3 linked regions of the Danio rerio genome follow. The protein of the gene in region 2 interacts with the protein of the main gene of each other region in a pairwise test. Links are inferred from orthologs where the notes say so. Each region holds a gene or a part of one and is shown on either strand. Other genes may lie near its edges. The genes, in order: rtn3, cert1b and csnk1g2a.

Region 1 (10,763 bases), on a different chromosome or scaffold from region 2:
TATCAGGTAATAGGTCACAGCATCAGTACACTGCTTCAGTCTTTCCTTTTTACGCTTGTCCTTAGTAATTTTAGCAAAAACCTGTTGGTTGTGCACCTTTTTTACCAACCAAGTTTGTCGATGCCATTATAACAACACAGATCACTCTGCCTATTCATGCCAGAATCCCGTAGAAAAGTAATTGAAAGGTTGTAATTTGTGCTTAACTTATCTTTATTTATTTATGATTTGATTGTGGGTAAAACGAAGACCAAAGACCAGATATTTGAAATGGTGTGTTAGGCTACAAAAAATTAAGAATTACTTAATTATTCATAAATATATAATTCACCGCCGCCTACAATGACAATGCCATCGTACATTGCAATGTTTTACATTAGACATCGTACGATGCCAAATTGGTTGACATCGCCAAACCTAATTGGAAATTCTAAAACAAATCTAAAAATGAGCACACATCCGAATTGCAGAATAAGGTCAATAAAGGTCCTGTATACTTCAAACAAAATCAAAAAGGAAACAGATATAATGTCATTTCAAAGAAAATCCAACCAAAACAAACCTTTATTTGAGCTCATTTTGGTAGTTTGAAACTGCTCACCAAAGCAAATTGTTGAGGGAGTTCCTAAACCCCTTTGAGCGTCAATTGGTCCATAATGATTACGTAATCGGCGGGTGCTTTCTGGAAGTCTGTCTTATTTGATATTTGATTAACATCTCATATCCATGGAGGTCAAAGAGGAGAACAACAGCAAGCTAGCAACGCGAGCAGCGTGACACATTTACAACCCACCTACTGCAGCTTGGGGGTGTTGGAGTGTTTGAAAACAGTAAAGCGTCACTCAGCCATTTTAAAATTCTTTTTCTATCAAGCAAAGAATGAAAAATATCTTTGTTTGAAGTATGTCAGGGCCAAGTCTGCATGTTCTGTGTGTATGGCATGGTTGTATTTTTTGTATCCATCCTCTCAATAAGCCTTGGTGTTTTCAGCATCTTCCATCTCACTATACGAGGACATGAACTTCACCTCCAGAGCTGATCTGGAAGTCACTTCATGAGCAGTTTCAGTTAAGAAACATCATGTAAATGAAAATTAAGTTAAGAAAGAAAGCATACCATGTTTGCACAGAAACTCCCCACATAGCAAAATTTCTCTGGCCCAGCTCTGGCCCACACAATCAGGTTTTGCTTGGCCCACATGCCGCAGTGAATTACGGTACATGACTGGACCAAATCTGGCTTCCAGACAAGGGCCAAACACGGACCATATCTGGGCCAAGTCTCAGCCAAGTTAATAACTCATAACTGGGCCTGAACTGGGCCAGATAGGTTGGTGTGTCACGATTGCAATGAAATTGATAAACCCATGGAGTGATGCGCTTTAGGCACACTATGGGCACGCTTTTTCTCAAAGTGACCTGATTGGTAGAATTTTTTTTCTTTACTCAAAAATGATTTTAGTGTATTTTAAATGTGGGTCAAGACTGGCCAAACTCAAATGGCCCACTTATCAAATTTTTAAATCTGGGCCGAATACTAAGTTTTTCATCTGGCCCAAATCCTGTGTGCCGCCTTAAAGACGGTGCCACCTCTGCCAAACCCGGGCCATGTTTGGCCCACATGCTGTATGCCAGTGCCGGATGAATGCCTGATGTCCCAGCTTTATGCCAAATCTGGGCCAGAATTCTTTGCTACTAGGGTCAAGCATCTTCAGTTTCTAAAATGTCATTGATCAAAAATATCAAATATCCAAAAATAAGATGGGACAATTTGATTAAATTGATTTCATAATGCCTTTCAACTTACAAAATTAGGTTTGTCACATGTAGCTAGCCAGCAAACATTCAAAAAGGAAATGCTGTGAAGTTATCCAACACAACTGATTCTGTGATACCATCTATTGCAAGGGCAAGGGTTAAATGCACCAAAACGGCTTGTGTTACAGGGCGATGCTTAAAGTGGGACTGGATTGACCTCTGACACTGGAAGAGCCTGTATGGCATCTCTGTCATGCCAGCAATATCAGCTCTATTCCCGAGGAGACTGAATCATGACACCTAATGCTTTAAGACTGCTGTCTCAGCCAGCTGTACTAACCTTAGGGTTCACACCCAGACAGAAGGGAAAGGCAGTGAGACACTGTTTTCTGACAAAGCAAAAGAGAGTATCGATACAGCTAGAGTAGATTATTTATGAGCCGCTCTCTTGGTCCTGACATATTTTGAAAAACTGTTCTGCATTAAACAGAAGTTAAGGTCTGCCAGGAACTTCTAGGCGTAGCTGACAAAACGCTTTTGGGATGTTGACATGCACAGTGTTGTTGAATGCTAATATTTTTCTATATTTATATGAATATACTACATGCTACATTTATTGTAAAGGCTATGTATGCACCTTTAATGAACTTAAAATTAAATTTCATTTAAATAATCTTGAAATACTGTACGTTTGTTGTTTGTTTCTGTTTAACACAATATTAGCTTGTATGGCTAATTTAAGTGTGTACTGCAGTTATACATTTTAAAACATTTTAAAAAAAACTCAAACTTGAAATTTGATTTAACAGTGATACAAATATCTTTAAAATAAATTCCTCACAAAAATAAAGCCTACTGTACTTAAAATTTATGCCAAATTCATTAATTCCATGTCAATGTGGCTTCTGAGTCATTCAAAATGAACTAGAAAACAAATAGAAGAACAAATTCTGACATATCGAAATGCTTAAAATATTTTACACATTAAAATATGAACCTTAAGTCTATTTAAATGAAAGAAATAGTAGTGTGCTGTGAATAACTACAAATAATTGTGAGTTTTGTGACTAATTATGACTTAAAAAGAAAACCTAGGGCCTATCATTGCATGCTTGCTCAACAGATTTCCAAATTAAAGTGCCAACTGTCAGTTCAGAGCTATCAATTGAGCTTAACCTGAATTAAACCCAGAACACTGCAGTAAAACAACACTGGGCCAAGTCTGGCACAATTGACCAGCTTATTATATTCGTTTAGTCATTTGTGTTATGTTATGCACCGTCCAATGATTTATAGGACTTTTTGATCATGTCTTTGAGAGCCAACGCAGCTACAATTAACCATCTGGTCCACTGTCACCTTCACATATGGTGTCTGTGATAGTAAGCCAGCGTGACAGTCATGTTTACATCCAGCAATATTCAGATTCTGATCCCCAACTGAATTCAATGCGTCCAAGTTCAAGAGCTAAAAGCAGCATTTGAACTGAAGGCATCAAACGACTTTAAAATTGAGAGCAGGGTGACGTCACAAGTCTTAACTTCACGTTCTAATTCTATTAGATTCCCAGACGCTTTAATGAAGCCAAAGCAAGGAGGCCAGAAGCGCTCCACATATGCTGACGACCTAAAAAGCTGTGAACCAACATCCAGTCATCCAAAACCACGCCGCATTGTTTTCACAACGGAAAAATATGCACGAACCAAACAAAGGCCTGTGTATATCATTTCATTGTTTTCAAAAGGGAAAACATACACAAACCCAACAAAGGTCAGCATGTCATGACGGCAAATGTGTAAATATGGACAGGCTAATAAAGCATTCATTAATGCAATAAGGTTTGTTTAGCGTTTATAAAATAAAGCATATGTCTTTAAGCCTGTGCTTAAACTGCAAACAACGTGACAAGCAGGAACAAATTATTAAGAGAGATTTTTTTTGCATGTACTTAGACTTGACAGAGGCAACTTGATTCATTTATGTGAACTGGTTCTTTCATAAACTGGTTTTAAATGACCAAAATCATTAAAGGCAATCAGTGACAAAAGTCTTTTAACGATTGCCAATCTATAAATGTCTTAAAGGGCTGAATAATGTTGAAAATGTTGCAATATTTGCTTTTATCTGCAATATAATTACATACATGAATGGTTATATATAATTTTACAATAGAGACATATTAAATATTGCTTTGTTTTTCGGAAAGTCTAACAGATTCAGGTACTGAAATTAATTAATCAAATGTAAAACACAACTGTTCTGTCATTATCATATTAAAGAAAAATCACTGTTAAAACATTTTGATTTCTTGTGCTTGAATACTTTAAAACTCACTTTAAATGCTTACAGTCACGAGCCTTAAAACTGATAAACTTTCACTCACATATTTATTATAGTTCAACTTTGCAATGACGTGTTCTGAACTGTTGTGCTGGTCAAATATACTCCAGACTTGACATTGACCATCTTGCCTTGTAACTATTGCATAAACGCACGTTGCGATATTTATGCTTAAACTAATAATCAATAACATTAGCTATGTTTCCATCCACCTATTTTTATATAAACCGGTTGATGGAAACGCCAAGAAGCTTATAAATTTAAAAATGCGCATAAAACACATATGCACATAACCGAGTAGAATAAACGTTTTTGTTCAATAAGAAAAGATGCGCATGAATTGTGATGTAAACACTTTACTGAACAAATTCCAGAGTGCGTATTAAAAAGGTCAAGTGATCTTGTTATAAAAGATCATGTGATGATAAAAATGTGTGTGAATGGACAAACCAGCAGGCTGAGCACATTGTAAAGCATCTGAAATGTTGTTTTTCTCATTCTAAAACCTCTTAACCATTTCAGTACTAGTGTTATTATATTATTAATGACCTCCAGAACTGTCAACAGCATCTGTGCTCTGCGTCTCACACCTTCAAACGCCAAAACACGATCATTGCATGTCCGGATTGCCTTCTGAGGCATTTATTAAATGAAGAAAAGATTCACGCAGCTTCTCCTACTGCAGCAAATTCCATTTTTACTGTTGATATTTGACGGCAGTTAATCCGGAAGTGATGATTTTGTTCGCTTTGATTCATTGGATGGAAATAATGCCTTATTTGAATATTTTTTATGCGATATTCCAGTTTAATTCACATTTTTAGAAGGAAACCTAGCTAATGTTTCCTTTACAAATCAACATGATTTCCAATGGTTGTGGATGCTTATCCAAACATACAATCTGGTTCCATATTAAAAGTTTTTCTGTCTTTTTAAAGACTTTTGGCATCAATCACCTAGCATGCAAAAAAAAATTTTCCAATACAAAATCCATTACAGCCACACGCAGGCGTATTATGGTTTCATCAATGAAGCATTTAATTAAATTTGTATTTAGTTCAATATATTGTAGCCATTACAGTTACAAAAAAGTTATTTACAACAAAAATGTTATTATGCACTAATAAAATTGTTACATTTTCCAATAAATAAACGATTGCTTGAAATGATTTAATTAATTCATCTTAAGATTCAACTCAAAAGAACGATTTATAATAGGGTTTTAGACAGCTCTGTTGATTATTCCAGCTTGTCACGTCGGTAGTAATGTAGATGGGTGTGTGTGTATGTAGGTTTTCCCTTGATTTACACGGTCCTCCAGTTTCGGATGCATCTGCACTGCAGATCATCAGCTGAGCCGCAACATGTGCCCATTTCAGCATGGGTTCAAAGAGGTATTATGTGTCCTCATATTTCTCCCTGGCCTTTTCCTAAAAATAAACGTTAGGTCAAAGCTGTGGATGAGAACACATTCATTCTGAGTCTGACATCCGCCATGATATTTATCCCTACAAAATGTCAATATAGTCTTCCTACAATGCCCAAGAGGAGGCGTTATGGAAAGTGTACGTGAGAAATAAACAGACCAACACCATTACATAACACGAGAGTATCCCAATATTAGACTCAACCCATTTTAAGCATGCAAGTTCATTCGAATCGATCTGAATCAGTGTGTCGGTTTGTATTGTCATAAAATGCTCTAGTCAGAGTGACCTGCCAAAAGCATTTCCACCAGTTCCGTTTTAGAATATCCACGAACACACGTTCTAAATTTAGAAGCAAACATAACCAATTTAACGGCAGTGCTGCATGTCGTTTGCGTTGTCTTACCGGAAAACTTTGAGTCTTTAGACGCTGCAGAATGTCCATCGTTTAGGCCTTGTGACGACGAAATCTGAGAAGATTGGGTCATTGGGTCTGCCATTTTTTGTCGCGCAGCTCTACAGGGTCTGTAGTATAGAGGTGTCGATTGAGGTTTGGATTGAAACTCTGAGCGGTCCCGATTCACCGAGTATTTCCCAGTACAGCAGCGGCGTCACCGAGCCTGCACAAGCACATTAGGTGAACCTGCCTGAATGTTGCAGTGGATGGGGGCGGTGGAACACATATAGGGCGGGTACATATGAGAGAGAGAGAGAGAGAGAGAGAGAGATAATAGGGTGAGAGGTCGATGTTTTGCATAAAAGTCTACGCCATTAAACTATAAAAACTATAAAGATACTGTGGCTGACTTTTTCTTTTCTTCAATTTTCTTCCGTTCAATTAATTATTTCATTTACAACTAAAGACTTGTCCCATTCCGACAGTATCACGTGTTATAAACTGTGTTTTTTGTATTAAAGTATAATTAAAACTATTTTATGCTTGCTCTATCAAAGTAAATAATATCTGATTCTACAGTCTCTATCTTGACCATCCAGACAGTTGTTAATCCTAAAAACTGCGGACTGTTTTGGATTAGGTTGATGTCTAATCTATCCTCGTCTACTTAGAAATGATACACTAAACACTGTGCAACTGTATGGGATGTGATTATGTAATGCTTTTCGCATTTTAGCCCTGGATCTTTATTTCTTACCATGACAGTAAATGGTGGATCTGTATTTTATTTCATGTGCAACAGCGCCCCCTTTTGGTTAACCATAGTGTTGCGTTTATAGACTGTAAATAAAGGAGTCAAGTTTTTAATTAGCAAGGTTTCATTTACAAATTCATCCACGACCCAATGTAGAGTTACGACATGTTGCATTTTTTGTAGTGTAGAGGTATACTCCTACTTAATTTTCAGAACTACAGTGCTCAGCATAATTGAATACACCCCATGAATATGAACATGATTATCCATTTTTCAGTGTATAGGCATTGTATTTTGGTGCATTTAAACAAAACAGATTTATTAAACAGATATAATTATTAAAATAATATTTTAGTCACCAAATATATTTAGAAATTGAAAGATAATACAATTAAATTTAAGCAAAATATTGCAAAAAAAATTACAACCTACAAAATTTCTATTAAATGTAAAAAAATTTTGCTTCTCTTAATTTTTCCTCTTTTTAAATTTGTATTTAATATTTTTCTATAACATATACATTTGGTTGTACTAGTTTTAGGGCCGTTATCGTAAGTTATTTTGTTAGATAAGCTCCAGATTTGGCTTTAGAACCGACTAATGTAATGCATATGCACAAATATAATATTGTACTGCTTCCTATTAAAAATATGAATTTAAAAGAGAGATTTAAGAGGGGTGTACTTATATATGCTGAGCACTGTATCTGACTGTTAGCAATTGGTTTTCCTTTTGGTTGTACAAAAAGAATGTCAAGGCCATTTTTTAAGCAATTAACATCATGTTTGTTGCAGGGACGTTCCCAGGACGTTCTAGAAACATTCAGGGAGCGTTATGTGTTTGCTGGGTTTGAGCTGAAACTTTACAGACATATTCTGGAGACACGAAAGGCTTATCATAAATCTTAAAAAAGGGGTAAAATAAGTGCCCTTTAAAACTTTGAAAACATTATCAATGAAGACTAATAACAGTTGACGAAGCTGATGTACTTTTTTTTTATGTTAACAAATTAAGACAGTATATGTAATCCTGACTCAATCATCTATAATTAAATCATATAAGTAATTGATAGTGTTTTTATTGAATGTAAAACATAATGGCAAAATCACAAATACAAATAGGTGTGTATGTTATGTTTACAGTTTCGGTACTAATTATAAGTCATTTAGATTATGCAGACTGTTTCCACAACACCAGATTACATTACGTTTTAAACTACCCATAATCAGATTACTGTTAACCACTTTGACCTACTTGGTAAATATTTCAAGTTTATGTCATTGGTGCTAGGTCAAAAGTAATCCAAAAGTAATCCAAGTACGTAAAAAGTAATCCAGAATTGTTATAAAATAAATTACAAAGTAATTTTGAAATCAGCAACAGGTGTGGTGAAAAGATTACTGAAACATCATACTCAAGTAAAAGTACCATTAAAAATGTAGTGCAAGTAGAGTGAAAGTGTGTGTTGTAAATATTACTTAAATAATGAGTAAAAGTACCCAAGAGTAGCGAGTATTACACTCTGAAAAGTTGATGTGTTTTCATGCAGTTTGTGCAGGGATGTGTAAACGTAACATTCTGTAGTCCATTTAGTGATCTTCCTAAATTTGTTCCTTCCTTCCTTTTTTCCTTCTATTGTTTGTTTGTTCTGTCCTTCATTAATTTGTTTGTTTCTTCCTTCATTCCCTCCTTAATTCGTTCACTGATTCATTCATTCTTTTGTTCCTTTCTTTATTTGGTTATTTGTTCATTCATTCAATCGTTCATTCCTTTCTTCCTTAGTTGTTCAGTCCTTTCTTGATTGCTTCCTTCATTCATTTGGTCCTTCCTTCCTTCATTAGTTCAGTCCTTCCTTTCTTTCCTTGTTCGGCCCTTCCTTCATTTGACCCTTCCTTTCATTCTTCATTTGTTCCATTTAGTGATTGTTTAGTGCTGTTTGGCAATTTCAGTCATCATGCAGTCGACATCCTTCATTTTCTCATCAGTGACATGCCGTCTATAAACACTCTCTGGTTCATAGCGTATGAAGATCTTCTTGGACATTTGTAATGCTTCCAAACGGTTTGCTGCATTTATAAAGCAGCCATATCTTGATGTTGTTCAGTAGGATGTGATTTACTTTCTATGTGGGATTTGATTAGACGGGAAATACAGAACTGATTTTCTACTCAGCCAGTACCCATAGATAAGAAAAAATAAAGTAGTGACTCCAGGTTAAAGTTTTTTGCTAGATCAGATCCAGTATGCTTGCGGCCGGAAGTTAACAAGAATTATTTATTCATTTTCTTTTCGGCTTAGTCCCTTTGTTAATCCGGTGTCGCCACAGTGGAATGAACCACCAACTTATCCAGTACGTTTTTACGCAGCGGATGTCCTTCCAGCTGCAGATTCCAGATCTCTGGGAAACATCCACACACTCCTTCACACTCATACACTACGGACAATTTAGCCAACCCAATTCACCTCTACCACATGTCTTTGGAATGTGGGGAAAAGCGGAGCACACGGAGGAAACCCACGCGAACGCAGGGAGAACATGCAAACTCCACACAGAAACACCAACTGACCCAGCCGAGGCTCGAACCAGCGACCTTTTTGCTGTGAGGCGACAGCACTACCATCTGCGCCACTGGGTCGCCTGAGATTTATTTATATTATTTATTAAATTTCCTACTTATTGTATTAAATTAACGTCTACCCCCACCCTAAACCCAACCGTCACAGTAATGTTAAAACAGTAGTAGTACTGAGTATTATTTATGCTATCTATTAAATTACCTATTAAATTTTAGTTTTTAACGCCGGCTATCCCCACCTCAACCCTAAACCAAACCGTCATAGTACTGTTAAAATATTAATTATTGTTAGGCCTATATAGTGTCATAAAAAAGGCTGGTATTGATGTGCATATCGCACTTCCAGCCGACCGCATATGCGATCTAGACTTTACCCAGGTTGAAGGAAAATAGTGGAGTAAAAGTACCAATACAGCACAAAAGAGGGACTCAAGGGGAAGTATACAAATTTAAAACTAACGTTACTTAGTAAATTACAATTCCTGAGAAAAACTACTCAATTACAATGATTTGAGTATTTGTAATTTGTTACTTTACACAACTGCTGGCACAAAATCAAAAGTAATCCAAAGGTAATCCAAGTAGCGTAAGTAAAAGTAATCCAAAAACATTATTGACTAAATGACATGGTAAGTTGAAAATCAGCAAGCAACAGACTAACGTTACGCTTTGGAAGTAATTTAGTCAATACACACCAATGAATGTAAGGTGCACACCCTACTTTCGTCTCCAAACACTGGCGGTGATGTAGCAAAAACTGGCTCGCCAACCGTCATTAATAGCAACGATGACACTACTACATTTCCCAAAATGCTTTTAGAACCCGGAAGTGATCTGTGAACAATAGGATTGCCCGGTTCAACGTTTTGACGTAGGAGCAGACTGTTTACGTCTCTGGCGTTTTGTAGAAGCTTCTGTCCTTTGACTGCGCGGCAAAAGCAAGGAGCAAAACAAAAGCATGTGGATGTAATTTCAACAAAGGTATGTTTTGTGGATGAAACAACGCATCGCGTTATTGTTTAGAAAGCAAGGCTAGAACAATATGTTTAATTCAAAACGCCCTCTAACCTAGAAAAACACCAGAAGCTGATATTTTGTGCAAGCTAGTTAACGTTAGCTGCAGCAGCATCATGCAGATGTCCACACAGGCGCACATGGGTTGCTGTTGCGCTGTTTTCATTGCTCAAAAATTCATGCACTGGGTCGTTATTGATAGCATCTTGCATGGCATTCTTTTATTATGTCTGAATACTGGTTGTTTAAATGTAACTCTTGGTATCAGTGGAGTATACTGTAACTTACCTCGAGCTTATGCTTGAGGTAAAACGTTCAACCTGTCTAATGTCAACTCTAGCCAATCCAAAAGCTTTATTTTGGATTTGACAGCTAATTAATCCAATTTAATGTTAAGTTTTACATTTGGGACATCAAGTGTGGCTATACACGTGTCTTTGGGGATTTCCCTAAGTGACCACTTGGCATCCTTTGAGCCAGCAAGTACACACTTTAAAT
Region 2 (10,249 bases):
TATGAGAGCATATGGGTGTTTCCCAGTACTGGGTTGTGGCAGGAAGGGCATCTGCTATGTAACACATATGCTGAAATAAATGGTGGTTCATTCCGCTGAAATAGAGACTAAGCCGAAGGAGAATGAATAAATGAGATGCCACAAATAATATATTTTTAAAAAGAAATAAAAACAACATGCCTACATAAACACTTTATTAATTTATATGATGAGAAAAATGTAAATGGTAAATTTTATTTTAAAATGATCTAAATCAAAAATATTAATTAATAAATATTAATAAATAAAGCAACATGTTTACATGTTTTTCTTTTACTTTCTGTGTAACATATATATTTTTAGATATAAAAACAAAAGTGTTTAGATACTGATGAAAGATCTCATTTTTGTCTGAAACAGACAGAATATTTGTTATATCTTTCAAACGATATGAGCATATTTAAAAATAAAATTGAATAAATAAAGTAAAAAACAAAAACAATCAGTTGTCAATCTCGTGGCATGTTTTTTTGGTTTTACTTGGCATATTTTACATGCACAAACATCTTTTTTTATTATTAGATTTTGTAATACATAAACACATTTACATGTAGTTTATTGTCCAAGAAACACAACAAATGTGCTCAAATGCAAAATATAAATGCAAATTTACAGGAATTCAAATGTTTCCCATATTGTTTTAAAGATATTAAAAAATATGTTAGGAGTTGTTGAACTTACAGAGCTGGGTGCACCTCTAAAAAGATCTAAAGGACTCAGACATGGCGCCGAATGAATCTACACTGTTTTTCAGCCTTCCTAAAGCACACAAACACAGCTAATATCTTAATAAAATACATGTTAGCCATTTAGCAACAAAACTAGAGTCGCCGCGCAGACAGAAGCCCTGGCCATGACGCAAATTCACATTTATTGTGAAGCTAATTTGGCGAGTAAACTCAAAATGTTCACGCATCTGTTTACGCATGAATCACACAATTTATTTGCGCATGACACGTCTGGTGTGAACACAGCATTAGGATTTTACTTGACATGTTTTATTCAGTACACAAATGGCTTTATTTATTAGATTTTGTAATACACAAACACATTCACATGTAGTTTATTGTCCAACAAATGTGTTTATATGCAAAATATAAATACAAATTTACAGGTATTCAAACTCTGCCCATATTGTTTTGAAGATATTAAAAAATATATCCGTTCTGAACAAAATCTACATCTTACATCAGTATCTAAACATGTTTATTTTTACATCTAAACATAAATGTTACGAAAAGAGTTTCTTTAAATTATTATTGTCCCTCTAGAAAACAAATACTCCAATTTTTCAAGGTTTATTAAATTATTATTTTAATTGTTACTATTTTAACTACTTTAGTAAAATAATAGGAATTTAGGGCGTACTCACACTATGTACAGTTGCCTTGAACCGGGCCGAAGCACGCTTGTCCCCCCCAACACCAACTGCCAACTGACCCAAACCAGCTGCCTTCTTGCTGTGGGGCCACAGTGCTAACCATTGAGCTACTGTGTCGCCGGTCTAATATTCAGTTCAAGTTTACTTGTATAGCGCTTTTCACAATAATAATGGTCCCAAAGCAGCTTCACAAAAGGCGCACATCATTACATTCCAGTCCAAATCAGAAAGGTTAAAGAGCTGTGTAAAGGCTTGGCCGTATCTAAACGTAATCTTCATCTGTGTCTGCAGCTACTGTAGAAAACTTCAACATTGTGGAGACGTTGTCCGATAACGCCATCATCATCTACCAGACTCATAAGGTGAGGAGAGCGAATAAGTTTACACTGCTGTGTGTAATGCGTCCCCTCATGATCATTTCCCTGACGGACTGTTGTGTGTGTGTTCAGAGAGTGTGGCCGGCGTCCCAGAGAGATGTCTTATATCTGTCTGCCATCCGCAAGATTATGGCCAATAATGAGAACGACCCAGACACGTGGCTCGTCTGCAACTTCTCCGTCGAACACGACAACGCCCAGGTGAGTCTGGTCTCCATGGTGACCGCTGCATTTGTGCCGTCTGTTTTGTTTTTTTTAAATATATTTTTATTGAACATTTTTTTGTGCAAAAACAGGTCAGAAAATTATATTGAGTGTAAAGATAACAGAAGTTTACATACACTGTATAAAAGGCACATAACCATTTAAAAAAGGTCAGATGTTAATGTGACTAAACTTTTCCTCTTTTAGGTAAGTTAGGATGATCAAATGTGTTTCTGTTCTGCTTAATAGCAGAATAATGAGAGAGATTTTGTTTGAGAAATTGTTATAACTTTTCTTAAAAGTCAAGTTTACAGACAATAAGATTATTCTGCCTGTGAAAGAGCTCAGATGATGATGTCAAGGTTTTGGAAGTTTCTGATTGGCTAATTGACAACATTTGAGTTAATTAAAGGCACAACTGTAGAATAGTATTGAAGGAAAAGCTCAAACACACTGCTTCCTTGTGTGACAACATGGGACAATCAACAAGCCAGAATCAACAACAAAAGCCAGATTACAATTTGCTAAATTTGGAGACATGTCCTGTGCTCTGATGAACTAAGATTGAACTGTTTGGCCATAATGAGCAGTGTTACATTTGGAGGACAAAGGGGAAAGCCTACAAGCCTAGAAACACCATCCCAACTGTGAAGTATGGGGGCGGCAGCATCATGTTGTGGGGCTGTTTTGCTGCAGGAGCGACTGGTCCACTTCACAGCATAGATGGCGTCATGAAGAAAGAACATTATGGAGAAATACTGAAGCAACATCTCAAGACATCAGCCAGGAAATTACAACTTGGCCACAAATGGGTCTTCCAAACAGACCATGACCCTAAGCATACTGCCAAACTAGTTCAACTGTGCTTTAAGGACAACAGAGTGAATGTTTTGGAGTGGCCATCACAAAGCCCTGATCTCAATCCTATAGAAAATGTGTGGGCAGAGTTAAAAAGCTTTTTCAACTATTGTGAGAAGCTTATGGAAGGAGTCCCAAAACATTTGACTAAAGTTATACAGATTAAAAGCAAAGCTAAAATAATACCAAGGAAATGTGTGTGAATATTTGACTGTCTAGAAATTAATAAGAAAATTCTCAAAATAAAGTTCTCTCATTATTCGGGGCATTTAGCAAATGTAAATGATTTAGGTAATCCTAACGGACCTAAAAAAGTAAACGTTTAGCATGATTTACCATCACACATTTTTAAAAATGGTTATGTTCCTTATTTATAGTGTATGTAAAATTCTGGTTTCAACTGTATAAGTATTTGTGTGTGTATGAATATGTAATAAATATATTTTATCTTTATTTTATACTATTAATTGTTTAGTTACTAGTCATTTTTGCCATGCATTAAAATAGAGCACGATTATGTATTGATAATATATAGAATTTTAATCTGATGTGTGTATGTAGTATCTAAATATGATGAATTTTGATTTAGATATGATATGGTGAATATTCATATTTTTTGAAAAATGCTTATGCAAATTCACCAATTTACATTATGGTATATGTAATTATTAAGAAGAGGGTGTAGTTAGCATGTAGGCTAGAAAATGACAATTCTGTAATATTTAGATTTATGGCTGATGGTATGTTTTAATGCTTCTGTCTTTCCATAGCCAAACAACAGATGCGTTCGAGCTAAAATCAACATAGCGATGATCTGCCAGACGCTGGTCAGTCCACCAGAGGGAGACAAAGAGATCAGCAGAGACAACATCACATGCAAAATCACATACGTGGCCAACGGTGAGACTCGCTGCTCAAATAGTCTTAAAACACCGAAAGAGAGATTTTAATAATGCAGAAATATTAATATATACAGTTATGTGAAAAGGCCAGGATCATTTTGTCCTGATGATAGTAAAACTGGAATTCAATAGGGTGTCCTTAGAGTTATTAGCCCTCCTGTTAAATTAAATTTTTTTCATATGTCTTCCACCAATTTTTTATTATTTTTTTATTTATTTATTTTTTTAATTTTGCCCTCAACTGTATACAAGTTATAATAACGCTGAATGAATGTTTTGTGAACGCAGTGAATCCGGGTGGCTGGGCTCCTGCATCTGTCCTGAGGGCCGTCGCTAAGCGAGAATATCCCAAATTCCTCAAGCGCTTCACTTCCTACGTCCAGGAGAAAACTGCCGGCAAACCCATCCTCTTCTGAGCACAGGTACACCACATGTATTAACTACACCTGACTACAGAAGTGGAAAATGTATTGGGTAAAAATAATTAATGATGCCTTGTTGAATTATTAAAAATGTTTGCACACCCTTACAACGTCAAATCTGCATTATTTATATAATAATTCAATGTACTGGAGTGCATTATTGCACTTATACTCTCTGGTTCCCACAGCTTTATATTTTTATTTAATTTGTTTGTTATGCAGTTTATTATTATTGTTTTGTAATTAGTTATATTAACAGCTGTTATTATATGCATTAAATTATCTTTTATCTTTATTGCTGTAATTATTATATCAGATTGTAACATGTACTAGGTAATATGTGGGTATTGTAATCAATTTTACTTTAATTAGTTTTTTTTATTATTGCATTATTGTGAAATGTAACTAGATTTTTTTTCCACATTAAGTTTGTCATTTTAGTTTATTATTGTTATTATTATTATTATTATTTAAATATTTATTTTGTCTTTCCTAATATTTTTAATATATTTATTTATACGTAAATAATATATTCATAAATTATGTCTTTAAACTCACCGGCCACTTTATTAGGTACACCTGTCCAACTGCTTGTCAAACAAATTTCTAATCAGCCAATCACATGGCAGCAACTCAATGCATTTAGGCATGCAGACATGGTCAAGACGATCTGCTGCAGTTCAAAGCGAGCATCAGAATGGGGAAGAAAGGGGATTTAAGTGACTTTGAATGTGGCATGGTTGTTGGTCTGGGCTGGTCTGAGTATTTCAGAAACTGCTGATCTACTGGGATGTTCACGCACAACCATCTGTAGGGTTTACAGAGAATGACAAAATAGGTAACAGTTACTCAAAAAGCACTCGCTACAACCAAGCTCTGCTGAAGAGCATCTCTGAACACACAACACGTCCAACCTTGAGGCAGATGGGCTACAGCAGCAGAAGACCACACCGGGTGCCGCTCCTGTCAGCTAAGAACAGGAAACTGAGGCTACAATTCACACAGACTCACCAAAACTGGACAATAGAAGATTGGAAAAACGTTGCTGCTCTGATGAGTCTCCATTTCTGCTGACACATTCAGATGGTCGAGTCAGAATTTGGCATCAACGACATGAAAGCATGAATCCATCCTGCCTTGTATCAGCGGTTCAGGCTGGTGGTGGTAGTGTAACGGGGGGTCCAACCCGGTATACCCGGTGTACCTAATAAAGTGGCCAGTGAATCTATGTGTGCTGTATTTTATTTTTTTATTTTTTTATTAATTGGCTTTGTTGCAACATGTATTGTTCATTTTTCAACATGTGACCTCCCAGAAAATGCTAACGGAATTGATTATTGTGAAATGTAATTGTATTTTTGTGTTGTTCGCAGTTTCCCGGTTGAGCTGTCCGTGTGTCTGATCTCCAGCTCTGCACTCCAGCGCCCTCTAGTGAACAGAAAAACACACTGCGCCTCTTTTTTCCAGACTGTTCTGAATCTGCTGCAAAAGTTCATGTAGCGCCACACTACTTCACACAGCAGAGGACGCACCACAGATATCTAGATTCATACAAATATAAGTCAATGTATGTATGTAAGTACGTCAGATGGCAGGTTTATATATAAATATATATATATATATATATAACGGGAGAGATTTTGAGACAGGCTCTGTTTTAGTCCTGATTATTAGTTGTTTTTTTTTCTTTTTGAACAAGCATTTCAGCTTTGCTTTCATTGTCTGCGTATATTCGCCAACGTTCAGATTGTTCCGGCGTGTTTGTAAATGTCGATGTTTCGCCGTCTCTTTTATGAAGCGCAGAATGAGTCGCTGAAGAAGAGATGAAACGAACGATTGTTTTCTTTTGTTAATCCGTGTCTGAAACACCGTAGCACAAACCCAGATCGATCATAACAGGCAAAAAACACAATTTAATACGTCAGATTATTTGTGTATATAAGTTCATTATCGCTTTAGATGGTCAGTCGACGCTTTAATCTGACTAATTCAACTCCATATGCCTTAGCAAGTGTGTGTGCGTGCGTGAGTGTGTGTATGTGTGCGCGACTCCAAACACTTCTAGAAAAGTGCCTCATTATTGATCTTGCTGATCGCCCACATCCATTATATCAGAACGACTTTATACGAAAAGAAAACATTTCACGACGATTTCTTACCTCGTATTATTTAAATGTGATTTTGCAATCAGATTGTGTCATCAGAATAGTGGCATCTTATTGGAGGAGCCCTGATGCCAATCAAATTTTTTCTGTCCAATAGGAGGATGCCGTTCGAATTCGGGGGCATAGATGTAGATTTACGTAGTTAGTTGAGTTTGTTTGTTCGTTTATTTATTCGCTTCTTTTCTTGGTTTAAATTTGTACAACGTAAATTTATTCGTACAACGTAAAAATCTAAATCACAAACTATTTGAAACAATCGAACAAGGCACAAACAATTTTCATCTTGTTTTTTTGAGATCCGGGAAAAGATTCGGTAAATAAATTTCGGAATTTTTTTTTTTTCTGAAAAAAAAAAACAATTTAAATGCTTAACATTTTAAGTCTCGTTTTTTGAAAATATGTTAATGTTACGTGATTTTATGCTTAAACCACAACAAATTGCATATTCTTCGAATTATGTAAACACATTTTTATTATATTAAATAAATAAAATTAATTAGAAAGTATAAAGCTAGTGTATTTTTTAACTCGGTATTTTAAGCATAAACTCCCTTAATTTTCATGCATTTTTCAAAATCTTGATTTAAAACGTATCGTTATTTATCAGAAAACAAGACGAAAATACTAAGACAATAAATTTAATTGCGACGTTATTTTTTTTTTTGCTAAACATTTTCATTAGTCAAACCTACCCACAAAAGACTGTTAAATACAAAGTAGTGGACGACGAATAGCCAAACGTAGAGCAGATGCACGATCACAACATCCGAGTATTTACGGTAACATTTCAACTAGATGCGATTTTTCAAAACGGTAAACTCGTACAACTTAAACATTCCAATCGCACTCGCTGAACCCGAATGTACGAAACCACCAGAGCGAAACCGTAAACAAAACTGAATGTGTTACTCTAAAATAAAACAGCTGTTTACTGATTGGACTGTTTTTGGTGGAATCGGCCAATCAGGAGAGAGTTGAGTGGAATTAGTCAATCAGGAGAGAGTCGTATTAAAATGGCAAATCAGAAGATAGTTGGGTTGTATGGGCTAATCAGGAGAGAGTTTTGCAAAATTAGCCAATCAGGAGAGATCTGTGTGGAATTAGCCAATCAGGAGAGAGTTGTGCTTGTGACGCGCGTCGCTCTAATACAGTCTAGTGTTTTCTTAGTTGCATTGGCACTGAATGTAATGTCATTGGGTTCAGATGTTTTCGTGTACATACGTGTCACTCGAGGTGTCAGGATGAACATGTACTGTGAATAGAGGGCCCAAACGCTGCCCTGTTTAGAGAGGAATAAAATGATTGACATCTTTCTGCACTCTCTGACTCTTGTGCTCGTTATATTTGTCTAATTAATGTTGGTTTGCTTGAAGTTTAGTTTTTTCTCTCATTTTTAAGTTTTCTAATTATTATTTTGTGTTATTGAGATGCTTTTATTAATACTTTTATTATAATTCAGATTATTTTAGAAATGTTTTATTTTTTCACTTTAAGTTTTAAATATTTTAGGGTTTTTTATTTGTATATTAATTTTAAATATTAATTTTGCCTTTATTTTTGTGTGTTATTAAGATGCTGTTATAGCTTTTTATTTATTTGACATGTTTGATTTATATTTCATTTACAATATTTTAGGTTTTATTGTATATTAATTTTAAATATTAATTTTGCCTTTGAGATGACCGTCAAAAATGCTGCCTAAGCAAATATTTTCAAATACATTTATTTATATATAAATGATATTTCTATAATTTACAAATATAATATATTTATTTAAATATATTAATCTTTGCACGCTCTAGCTGCAATTAAATCAATAAGTATCATATACATTTTATAATCATTGTTATATTATTATTATTATTATTAATAATAATAATTATATAAATTATATTTTAATATATTTGTTTTCATTCATTTTCCTTCAGCTCAGTCCCACAGTGTAATGTACTGTCAACTTATCCAGCATTTGTTTCACACAGCGGATGCCCTTCCAGCTGTAACCCAGTACTGGAAAACACCCATACACTCATTCACACACATACACTACAGCCAATTCATTCATCGATTCCCTTTATAGCATGTGTTTGGACTGTGGGGGAGTCCGGAGCAAACCTACGCCAACACAGGGAGAACATCCAAACTCCACACGGAAATGCCAACTGACCCAGCTGGGACTCGTTCCAGGGACCTTCTTGCTGTGAGGTGGCAGTGCTAACCTCTGAGCCATGCAAAGCTTTGCTCCCGCCCTAATCAGACACACCTGATCCAACTAATCAAGGTGTTCAAGACTACTTGATTATTTGGATCAGCTGTGTTAGAATAGGGTTGGAGCAAAGCTGTGCAGAGCTGCGGCCCTCCAGGAACTGACTTTGAGTTGCAATAAAGCACAACTAAACACTTGTTTTGTTTATTATAAATAGCTGCATAATCAAAATATCCATAAAGTGTCATTTATATGTGAGATCTGATGTAACTTGAGCAAATATATTTGCATATGACCACCTCTCGAATAAAAAAAAAAATGATATTCAAATATTGTTTTACTGTTAGTTGATAACCGGGGTTGTCAAGTCACCCCTTTTAAACGTTGCTGCAGGTTTAATGGTATACACTAAAAATGGCTAGTATTATAATATTGCACATTCAGTCAATATTAAAACTGGTGGTAGATGACTTCTGTATAAAAGAGAAACTGTCTTTGAGTTATTAATACATTTAGGTTTTGAAAATATTGATTAATACTAAATACAGATTACAGTTTAGGCAACAGATGACTTATACAATGCATTGTGTAACGCTTGACATGTGACAATGAGTGACATATTTTGTTTTCTCATTTGGATTCGGGTTACTGGTTTGTTATTAGCTACTTTTGATTTGTTTCTGGCATTAGTTTGTTTTAAATAGCTGGTAATGGCAACCCCCATGTTAGCGCGCGCGCCTAATGACTAGCACCTGCAACACAAGAGTCCCTTCAGAAGCAAATAAAAGCGGTTAATGTTATTGTTTTTCATCTATTACATTTTTTTTCATCAAATAAAGCCCGTGATGTTGAGTTCGCAAAGAAAGCTTGTTATTTGATAATTGAAGCAGCCCGTTGTTTGTGGATCTAACAGCTAATGCTGCGTGGCTAAGGTAAGTTTAGGCATTGTACAATGCAGTCATGTAACGTTATCGAGCTATCAGGGTAATTTATTGATGGGAGGGAGTTTTCTCCTTTGGATTCGGGTTACGGGTTTGTTTACAGCTACCTTTGACTGATTTCTGGCGTTATTTTGTTTTAGATCTGGCAAGCTAACCCTTTCCTTAATGACTACTAACTTAGCACCTGTTCAATCAGAGTCTCTCCAGAAGCAAATAAAAGCGATTATTATTATCGTTTTACATCTTTTTCCAAAACCAAATTAAACATAATGTGATGTTGAGTTCGCAAAGAAAGTTTGTTATTTGAAAAATGAAGCAGCGCTTGTTTCTGGATCTAACCGGGATCCAACCGCTACGCTAGAGGATAAGGTACGTTAATGAAGTTCTCCAAATAGCAACAATCCCTCGCTGAATCTTTCAAGCAAACATACCCAACTGGTCCCGAGAGACACATAAAATAATAAAGGCAGTGCGGGTGTTTATTGCTAAAGATTTGCAGCTGTTTTCGGTGATTGGAGATGTGGGCTTTTGTCATCTTATAAAAGCACTCGATCCGCTTTACAGACTACCGTCTCGCATTTATCAGCACTGAGATAATGAAGATGGTTTATTTATGTTTACTGAAGTACAAATATGTTTATTTGAAATGGCCAATTTATCTTTATTAACTTCACATGTGTTTATTTTCAAAGTGAAGGATTTGATGTGTTCCCCAGTTTGTACATGGGCTACCAGCAGCTGTGAGATTTCAGTG
Region 3 (11,029 bases), on a different chromosome or scaffold from region 2:
TAATTAACCTTGGATTAACTATAACAAGTGTGAGAAGTCTTAGTTATTTTTTTAACATTGATTTAGCTTAGCATGAAAGCAATAAACAGCCAAATAAATGGAGTGGCACCAGGTTTTGGGTTACAAATATTTCTTTAAAATCAACTGAATTAGGCTAAAAATGCATCACATTAGAAACATTTTGCTGTCAGTGTGAAAGTAGGAACGAAAACCACACAGAAGTCACTTTTAAACAAAAGCTTTGTTGATGAACCTGTAGTCATCCCTAAAGGTCCCATGAGATTAACATATAATAGATGTTAGTATTGTTAGTTTTGAAGATATCTATAAGCTAACGAGCACCAAAAACAGTGACATAATTCACATTTAGAAGATATCAAACTGATTTAAACATGTAAAGCTTGTTGTTCGTCACATCCGCTTAAATGGATCATCGGTTTTATTCACAGCCTCATACTTCAGTTTCTCATCAAATCTTGACCAATTAAATGCTCTCTAGTATGTGACATGCTCCGCCCCATTCAAAATGCTTCACATTTGATGTGCTTGATCTCAACCCCGTTCACTCGACAGCTTTGAGAAAAACTAAAGGCTATTGGCTGTTTTTAAAGGGGAGGGGCTAGACTATGTCCTGTCCTCTCTTTATATTTTGGTTGAGATTACATCAAATATCGAATAAAAATGCACACTTCACAGCACTTTAGAGACCTTTCATGCTCATGGCAATCTAACTGATATGTAAAACAACCACTGGCAGTTCAGTGATGTTTAGGGGCATAAAAATGTAATATAAAGTTCCCCCTACAATAACAAAACAGAATGAAAACAAATCTTAACATTTTAAAGTAATGTATGCCATAATCTACTACACATGCTTTTGAAAATCCAGCATTTTGTTGATCATGTTATGCGCTACATGTCACAGTTGTAAACATGTGAGATTTCTTGTACTATGAGGGGATGTGCCACCACGGCAGCTTTGTTTCCAGACAGGCACACAAATAAAATGGCACACAGAAATGCAGAATTCATCCATCAGATGAAGACTTCAAGCAAAACTCGCATTTTTAATGTTGTGTGCTATAATAATAATAATAATCATTTATATTATTTATATAGCGCATTTCTAGACACTCAAAGCGCTTTACACATTGTGGGGAATCTTCTCATTCACCACTAGTGTGCAGCATTCACCTGGATCACACGACGGCAGCCATATTGCACCAGATCGTACACCAGCTGATTGGTGGAGAAGAGACAGAGTGATGAAGCTAATTATGATATGGGAATGGTTAGGAGGCCTTAATGGACAGAGACCGATGGGCAAATTTGGCAAGAATGCCAGGGTTAAACCCCTACTCTTTTTCGAAGGACATCCTGGGATTTTTCACAACCACAGAAAGTTGGGACCTCGATTTAACGTCTCATCCAAAAGACGGTGCTCACTGAGCAGTATAGAGTCCCCTTTACTGTACTGGGGCGTTAGGAGGGCCCACAGACTGCAGGTTGAGCGCCCCTGCTAGCCTCACTAACACTACCTCCAGCAGAATCCTAGCTTTCCTATCTGGTCGCCCCATCCAGGTACTGACCGGGCTTCAGTGGGCGACAATTTGAGAGTTGCAGAGAGCTAGCTGCTGGTATGCATGAGAAGTTCAGCCCGTGGTGTGTGGGCATCACAACCAAGGTTGATACTAGGTACCATGTAACCACTTATCAACATTGATCTATAAGCATTAACGCCCACTGTGTAGATTTTTACTTGATAAAATGCACACATCATGGTAAACGCAAATGAATTCATCTAAAAGAAGTGACTTCTTTCATTAATATTCTTCTGAGCATGGATGATTTAGGTTAGGGCTATCTCCAAGTGATCAATACTGGTTGGTCCATTTAGTTGAAAGCTGGTTTTTACATAAATAATGTAAGTGAGAGAATGTTGTGCGTGCAGTTTCAGTTAAGTGCAGGATCCAGGGTTGAGTCATCTGTGGCACCAGCAGCTCTGAGCATGCGGAGGAAAGCGCTACCAAGCAGGAGGCAGAATGGAAGAGCCAAATAAATATATAATTAAGTGCAAACAAACAGATTGCATAAAGCCCACAGGATGTATCAGATACTCAGCAGTAGAGACAAAAGTACAACAGGTTTTCTCTTCCAGCACGTAACTCCAAAATAAGCTAACGCTGATAGTCTCTCTACAAGTAACTGGGTGAGTCTTTATGAAGCATATGATATATATATAAGTTTTATATAAATTTATATATAAATAAAATGCACATTTAAATGCAAAAACCCTGCCAAGAGGAGTGTAAGACATGATAATGACAAAATGGTAAACGCAAATAAATTTATCTAAAAGAAGTGTGGTTGGTTTTTGTTAAGGAATTTGAAGTTTTCCTACTTCTTAGTAGGGTTGTTGCGATACTATTAATTCATCTTACGATACTATATCAACTGAAGTTTTACAATACCAAATAGTATTGCGATACTGTAATTCATAACTCAAATTATAAAGAAAATGGTTAGAAATTATATATTTTACATGTTCAAAACACTAACTCCTCTTTGAAGGTAATAACTTATTTTTGGTGTCATGTATATTCAATTCACTTCAAGTTTATTTATATAGCGCCCTTTAGAATAAGGATTGTTTCAAAGCAGCTTTACAATAGCTGCGCATTACTGCATTACTATCAAAAAAGTTGAAGAGTTATGAAGAGTTGAAAACAACCCCAACCAAACTAAAATACTCACATGGAGGAAAAACTTTTCATTTATTTTGCAGTTTGCACAGTCACAAACCAGAATAAAAGCAGGTATTCTTCTAAACAACAGACTAAGCACCATTAAGACACTATGAGACCTGCCAATCATACAACAATTATGTACACGAGTTTGAGGGTATTTACTTTGAAATTTTGCAATGTTTTTTAAAGACGTTTCTTATTCATACAAAGACTTAATTTACTTGATCAAAAACACTGACGAAAGTGTAATGTTATGATTAGAAATGCACCGATTGTACTTCCAATTTTTATTTTTATTGGTAATTGTGATCTACCAATATAAATTTTTGCAGAATTTCTAAATATATATATATATATATATATATGTATATATATATATATATATATATATATATATATATATATATATATATATATATATATGTATATATATATATATATATATATATATATGTATATATATATATATATATGTATATATATATGTATATATATATATATATATATATATATATATATATATATATATATATATATATATATATATATAATATATTATTATATATATAATATATTATTATATAACAAAAATTTACCAAATACTTATACATTTATTAGAAAAGAAAGAGAAATGCAGTGTACATAAAAAAACAACTTTGTATGGAATAAAGTAAATGGCTATCAATTTATATTCTAGTATTTAACATATTGTTTTACTTGGTCTGTTTTATAATAACTGAAATTATTCGGCATGATTACCCTGCCAATACTTTAGGATAGACACACACAACAACATAACTGGAGTGATGTTAAGCTGATTTCTTTACTAGCAACAATCCTAGGTGATGTCCAGATTATTTTGGTGATTCTAAAGGTTATATTTGACTATTTTCCTGTGGTGTGAAGTGTGTGAAAGAGTGACTTAATCCGTCAGGAAGAATGTCTGAGGCGCTCTGATCACAAAAGGTACTGAAATACTCAATATAATTTAGCGGGAAATTAACCTTTATAAAATTTCACTACCGATTGATACCCAACTTTTGACAACATGCGAGCCAGACATTACCATATGATACAAAACAACACATATAATCCAAATAACAACTTAGCTGTACGTTCCTGAAAATAATTAGAATGTAGTCAAGTAGTCAAAGAGAACAAAATCGTCACTTGCTGATTAACTGCCACCAAATATTTGCTGTGGTAGAAGAAGCAGCGGGAATATTTTCTTTATTTAATAAATGACTTGCAGCTCAGAAAACAGTATGCCAACATGCAATTAACACGTGGTGGCGTTTGAAGGTGTCAGACATGGAGCATAGACGCCCTTGACCATTTTTGAGGTAATTAATAATTCAATAACACTAAGACTTTTACTTTGTGAGCATTTAAAACTTATTTGCATTTTGGCTTTCCATCAACCGTTTTTTATGTGCAAAAACGCGCACAAAATGCGCATAAAAATAGGTGGATGGAAACGTTGCTTGTGATGTACAATTTGGTTCAAACAAAAAATATGTAAGACTCTTGTCACCAGTACAAGTAATTACATTGTAATAGCAAACACACACACACACACTACAGGCAGCAGTGAAAGTGGACAACAGTGATTTGAGGACTAAAATGACCATAAATGTCCATTTCTTGAAAATGTCGCTATTCACATGTAAACGAGAAAACAATGACATTATGCATGTGCATGTTTAGGAAGGTTTAGATTAAAGTGCACATAAACATACAACAATGACAGAGCACATGGATTTACTTTAAACAACCTAAGCTAAGATCTTACACACACAGCAACTTTTATGTATTAACCAGTGCTCAACCACGTCGTCACTTTCTTACAGGTACTGTAAACTAACAAGGTGACGGCACCAAATACTGGCCTGCCATACATAATACAGCACTTTTGCAAATGCGTGTCGCAAAAACAAATTGAAAACATTCTTGTGTAGAAGTGATTGATTGTTTGTTTGAGTTTTACATCATGCCAGCTTCTATGGCCTTTTTTATGGTGAGAAAAAGTATACTAGAGACAAAGATTATATTAAAAATATATTATTATTTTTTTTACTAAAAATGTTTATTTGGTAGGGATGCTCAGATCAGGATTTTTGCAGCCGATACAGAGTACCAATTTCTTGCCATGGTGATCGGCCGTTACAGAGTACCAATTCTGATGCTTTAAGCTTTACAATGCCGTACCGACCAGTAGGGCTGTGCAATTAATCGAAAAATTGATTTCGGCTTCTAACGATTTTGAAAAAGCATTAATCAAGATGAAACGATTATTGCATCATATACCACCCCCTTTCCAATTGTACACATTTGTTGCTCTGCAAAGCTCAATTTCATGTGAACATTACTAAAAGCATGTACTGTAATGTAATGTTTGCAGCACGGGATGCGCTTCATTCATTGATGTACATTCAAATCATTCATGTTTTAAAAGCGCAAGAGAGAGCACATGCTGCTGTTGTGTGTGCGCGCTCTCAGCCTCAAAGACGAGCAAAGCACACACATCTAAAGTCATCCTAATGTGAGCGCTTTAATAGTTTAATAGGTGTCAAAATGCGGTGTTTAGTGATTATTTAAATTAACCCTCCTTTGTTTAATAAACAAAAGAGTTGAGAATCAAAAGACATGTGAAAGAAAAACCAGAACGGGACTGCTCTTAAAGTGACAGCACGCAATATACCTGCTGCCTACTGTTTTAATCATTAATCAAACAACAAAAGGACAAAATGAAAGACTTTTGCAACTAGATTTAAAGTTTTTTTTTCTTACAATGAAGATGCTTAAAGCACAGTTTGTTTCATATATTTAATCTATTGTATTTATTTCACTTTTCCTACTTACAGTGAGGAAAATAACTAAGTATATATGCAGTTGATTATTAGCCCTCCTAAATTATTAGCAACCCGTTTCCCTCCATTTTTTGTTTAATGGAATGAATTTTTTTCAACCCATTTCTAAATATAATAGTTTTAATAAATCATGTCTAATAACTGATTTCTTTTATCCTTGCTATGATGACAGCACATAATATTTTACTAGATATTTTTCAAAATACAAGCATTCATATTAAAGTTCGATTCAAAGGCTTAATTAGGGTAATTAGGCAAGTCATTGTATAACAGTAGCTTCTTCTGCAGACAATCAAAAAATATATAGCCAAAGGGGGCTTATAATATTGACCTTAAAATAGATTTTGAAATATCTAAAACTGCTTTTAGGCTTGCCAAAATAAAAGGAAAAAACATTATAGGAAACACTGAAAAATTCCTTGCTCTGTAAAACATAATTCAGGAAATATTTATAAAAAAATAAAAAATAAAAAAAATCACAGGAGGGTGAATCATTTTGACTTCAACTGATAATCGTTTTGAATAATCTTGATTACAACTATGATCAAAATAATCATGATTATGATTTTTCCCATAATCGAGCAGCCCTACCGACCAGTACCGTAACGTATTGTACCACTCAGTGAAAACAAGCCAAAAGAGACCATCACTCGCACGAGTCGCATCAATAAACTGTATAAACAGAGGCCACATCACATCTGTGTGTATCTCAACTGCTGTGTTGGGACTGCTGCGATCACTCCCAACCCCACCCCCCACCCCCCACCCACCCCACATCATTTATCTACTCACATGTAGCGCCGCTAACCCGTTAACAAACACCTGCGATCGGTTCATGAGATCGGCAAGTACCGATCGAGTCATAAAATGTGATTATTGGCCGATACCGATTTCCAGCCGATCGATCGGAGCATCCCTAGTATTTGGTTTAACACCGTTTAAAAATTGCTTTAACAAAAACGCAGTGAATAAGATAAATTCCTCACAGAATTAAAACTATTGCAATCAGATAAAGTATGCTTCAACAGTTAAAGTGTTGTGAGATGCGAAACCTTTAAAACAGTTTTGGACACATTGTTGTTGTGTAAATGAAAAGCCCTATTTTCTGTGAGGCACTTACCAGTTTAATGGCCACATATTCATTAGTGTAAAGATTCTTCCCGAGTCGAAGCTCGCCGAAGTTCCCGCAGCCAATCTTCTTTCCCACCCGAAAATTCGGGCCAACCATAAGCACTCCAGTGTTGTTCCCGGAGCCTCGGCTGCCCCCATGCCCTGTCCTGCTCCCGCCAGTCTTAGACATTCTCTTTCCGTCCTCCGCTTCTCCTTTTCCTCCTCCTCCTCCTCTCTTATCAAAATCCATAAGCTTGTGATACCCCGGCCTCTCCACGATTACTCCACTGCCATAAAATCACAGAGCCACCAAAACAACTAGCAACAGGGGTATGGGGAATGGGATGGAGGAGAGGAATTTAGAGAAAGAGAGAATGGAGGGAATGGCTTATCCACAATATGGCTCTACACATGAACGGCTTTTATTGATGGTGGAATCCAAGGGTGATGTGATTTAGGATGAGGACATCATATGGAAATCTTCCTTAAATCCAACCGCAGAGGAGCTCGTTCTTTGGGAGATGGACACATGCGCACGACCCTAGCTGGTGAAAGTGAGATGCTGTCCAGCGTCGGTTTCCATCCTTTGCACCCACTCCAGGTGGTTCTGCAGAGATTTGTCAGGCATTCCCTGTGTCCATGGATGAACACACAGCATATCAAACTTGCCGTTGAGAGGAAACTGCCGGCACATCAGAAGTACATCTTACGATATCTGGGGCAGAGGAAAGGCACAATTAGCACTAAATAGATTGCAAAAAGGTACACAGAGAACTCCACTCTCTTGGCACCTGTTCCACTATGGTGATGAGAGAGTGACTGCACATTTATGTGAAATTTCTGGTATTTATTCACCTTTATATCTTTTTTTAAACATGCCTCACAGCAATATGGTTCGAGTACCGGCTGGGCCAGTTGGCATTTTTGTGTGGAGTTTGCATGTTCTCCCCATGTTTGTGTGGGGTTTCCCACACAGTATAGGTAAATTAGCTAAGCTAAATTGTCCCTAGAATATGTGTGTGAAAAAAAGTGTATGGGTGTTTCCCAGAGATGGGTTGAAGCTGGAAGGGCATCCGCAGAGTAAAACATATGCTAGATAAGTTGGCGGTTCATTCTGGCAACCCCTGATTAGTAAAGGGAATAAGCCGGAAAGAAAATGAATGAATGAATGAATGAATGAATTAATTAATTAATTAATGGAATGAATGAATGTTGGTCATTAAATAGTGTCTTGTCTTGTGACTTGTTTAGTGTTTTTGACAAATGATCTCTTTTTTGTTTCACACCATCACTGACAGATTGGTATCAGCCCTGATAACTTCCAAAAACAAAAGATTTTTATTGATTATTATTACAGTAATGAAAAAAGCAGCATGCAGTATTGTATTTTGTGCAATGCTACATAAAAACACATACATGTAGAATCCATTTGATATCTGATATCCATACCAACACACCCACATATTTATAATTAAATAAATTGAATTCATTTGGCCGGCAGTGCTAAAAAGCAAATAAACAGAGGAGATGATCATTTGCTACACAGGCCAAACCTGTAAATATGTGGTAAAATCTTACCTTTTTAATTATTTAGGATTTTGAGCAGAAGGCACTGGAGAAAAAGACTACCACAGGTCTTAAGAAGAAATCTTTTTTTGTAAATATTAGACTGACACTGTTTTAATTTACTATAATCTTCTATGTTAAGCTGCTTTGACACAAATCAGCATTGTAAAAGCATTATATAAATAAAATTGAATTGAGTTGAAAAAGCATAAAATATATTTAAAAAAGGAAATGAAGGTGAAACATTACATTTTTCACCCAAATGTATGGTGTCTGCAATAATTTATTTCATTTGTTCATTTATTAATTTTTACTTCTGCCTAGTCTCTATTCCTGAGGTCACCACAGCGGAATGGACCGCCAAATATTCCAGCTCGTTTTACATAGCTGATGCCCTTCCAGCCACAGCTTAGTTATGGGAAACACCCATACATACTCACATACATACACACTCACACACTACAGCCAATTTAGTTTACTCAATTCACCTGTAGCGAATGTCTTTGGACTGTGGGGGAAACCAGAGCACCCAGAGGAAACCCATGCGAACACAGGGAGAACATGCAAACTCTACACTGAAATTACAATAACTGGCCCAGCCGAGACTCGAACCAGCAACATTCTTGCTGAGGCAAACTGAGCCAACATGCCGCCCACAATAATTTAATCACAAAAAAATGTAAAAGACAAAAATATATTAATGATTTTGACTTAACCCTCCAAAGATACCTCAAATATTTTAATCAACGTTCTAAATTTGAATGCATGATGTGTTCCTGTATTATTAAACTACAAATTACGAAAATTAATGTGGTGTATATCATCTAGATCAGGGGTCTCAAACTCGCGGCCCGCGGGCCATTTGCGGCCCTCAGTGCAATATTTTGTGGCCCGCGCCGACCGCTGTACTCTGACAGAATCAGCGGAGCGGGGAGAGAGAGCGCTCCCCGCTCCGCTGATTCTATCCATACACAGCGCGCTTGTCATTCAATGCGCGTTGTCGCGCGCGTTCTGATCAGCTGTGTTGTCGCGCGCGTACTCAAGAGCGGTGTTATCACACGCCTACTAAAGGGCGGGACCGAGGGTGTGTCGCGTCGCGGGGGCACTTTTGATCATTTTGGAAGGGCACTTTCTATGCAAGACTAAAAAGGGCATGTGCACTGCACAGGTTGAGCCCTATGTGTGCACGTGCCTGCCCTGCATCTTATATATATTGATATTATAGGTAGATACAGACTGGTACAGACTGAGGTGACTGGAGTGGGGTGGGGGTGTTTTATTTATACATATATACGCCTTTTTTTTTAGGTGAGGGAATGGAAGTTTTGAGTGAGTTCACCCACTTTTTTCCCTAGGACTTCAATAAGTCAAAGTACAGGTCTAGACTTAATGATGATCATCTTCAAGCCATATTGAGGGTCTTAACTGCTTCCGCTCTAAAGCCAAATGTGGTTCAGATTTGTGAGAAGAAGCGCTGTCAAGTCTCTGGCAGCAAGAAGTAGGCAAAAGATGCCATGTTCAGAAGAACTGTTCATAATCTTCACTCAATGTTCTATTAATGTTCAGGACACTTCATGTTCAGAAGAAATAATTAAAACTGTTAATAATGACATTTGAGGACTTTTCTTTGTGAAATCCCTTATGCGGGCCAGCCTCACCCAGACTTTGCCTCCTGCGGCCCCCAGGTAAATTGAGTTTGAGACCCCTGATCTAGATTGATACACAATGAGCAACAGTTTGTTTTCCACTAATAATGAGTCAAGCCACTATCCAACTTATTCTCGTGGTTTTAATCTCTGCCATCACATCATTCAGGAATCAGAAGGCAGCTAAAGCCAAAAATCTGGCATTTGTGATCATGAAAATTACACGAAAATAAAGACAGAACAGAGCAGAAAATGGACAACCGAAAATAAACTCTAAAGCATTTACACTCACACACATCAGAATATAACTGCATATCTTCTCTGCATCTTGAATTTAACAGATTAACAAACCTGACATTGTGTACTGTGCTTGTTTGCTCTTTTTTTCTTTTCTCTTCAGTAAGTTGCTTTGAATAAGACCATTTGATGAATTCATAAATCAACACTTTTATGGTAAGATGATGATGAATAACAACAATTATACCACACCAAGCACAAATCATATTCATACTCAATTTAAAGACTTCAAATAAAGACAGCTCTGCATTATCATTGTCTCCATGAAAAGCACAATTTAGAGTCAGAGGTTTAAGGGACACGAAACCAGAGACCATCTCCCTACAGGAAATGTTATCTAGCGTTTCTGACTTCCAGCTCTAAAAATACATCCCTCAGGAGCTTGAGATGAAGCCTGAGGTCGTGTGAAGACGAGCAAGAGTCATCCTGGACCCAGTGTCTCAGTTATGTTGTGAGCAGACTCAGAGGGAGGCACCGTGCCAGATGTTACAGATGATGCCTTCCATGGGCTGGTTATTTAACAGAGAACAATGCTTTGAGAAAAATACATAAGTAGGAAATTTACTGTTTCTTAAAAAATAAATTAATAAACTAATTTAAACAATAAAAATAAAACTGGGCTGCCACATTTTTTTTTTATAGGAGAACAATACTAAATAAATTCTAAAACGTTAGTTAGTAGTATCACTGATAAACAAATAGACAGTACAACATAAAAGGAATAGTTTAAGCTGAATTTAAATTGCTCTTAATTTACTCACTCTCAAGATATTGAAGATGCAGGTAACAATTT

Evidence for each region.
Region 1: the proteins of cert1b (region 2) and rtn3 interact in binary tests that used the Homo sapiens proteins (3 or more experiments, as listed by UniProt). The link is inferred for Danio rerio from reciprocal best matches to the Homo sapiens genes CERT1 and RTN3.
Region 3: the proteins of cert1b (region 2) and csnk1g2a interact in binary tests that used the Homo sapiens proteins (3 or more experiments, as listed by UniProt). The two-hybrid records come from large-scale screens. The link is inferred for Danio rerio from reciprocal best matches to the Homo sapiens genes CERT1 and CSNK1G2.

The regions. Positions count from the first base shown.
Region 1 is NC_133182.1:17,684,031-17,694,793, reverse strand, and holds the start of rtn3 (reticulon-3), read right to left. Parts: upstream 6,193-10,763; 5' UTR 6,025-6,192; coding exon 5,931-6,024; intron 1-5,930. UniProt on the Homo sapiens protein: May be involved in membrane trafficking in the early secretory pathway. Inhibits BACE1 activity and amyloid precursor protein processing. May induce caspase-8 cascade and apoptosis.
Region 2 is NC_133196.1:3,162,920-3,173,168, reverse strand, and holds the end of cert1b (ceramide transfer protein), read left to right. Parts: intron 1-1,711; coding exon 1,712-1,782; intron 1,783-1,869; coding exon 1,870-1,998; intron 1,999-3,629; coding exon 3,630-3,759; intron 3,760-4,049; coding exon 4,050-4,177; 3' UTR 4,178-4,183; intron 4,184-5,556; 3' UTR 5,557-7,666; downstream 7,667-10,249. UniProt on the Homo sapiens protein: Shelters ceramides and diacylglycerol lipids inside its START domain and mediates the intracellular trafficking of ceramides and diacylglycerol lipids in a non-vesicular manner.
Region 3 is NC_133177.1:26,374,178-26,385,206, reverse strand, and holds the start of csnk1g2a (casein kinase I), read right to left. Parts: upstream 7,197-11,029; 5' UTR 6,978-7,196; coding exon 6,738-6,977; intron 1-6,737. UniProt on the Homo sapiens protein: Serine/threonine-protein kinase. Casein kinases are operationally defined by their preferential utilization of acidic proteins such as caseins as substrates. It can phosphorylate a large number of proteins. Participates in Wnt signaling.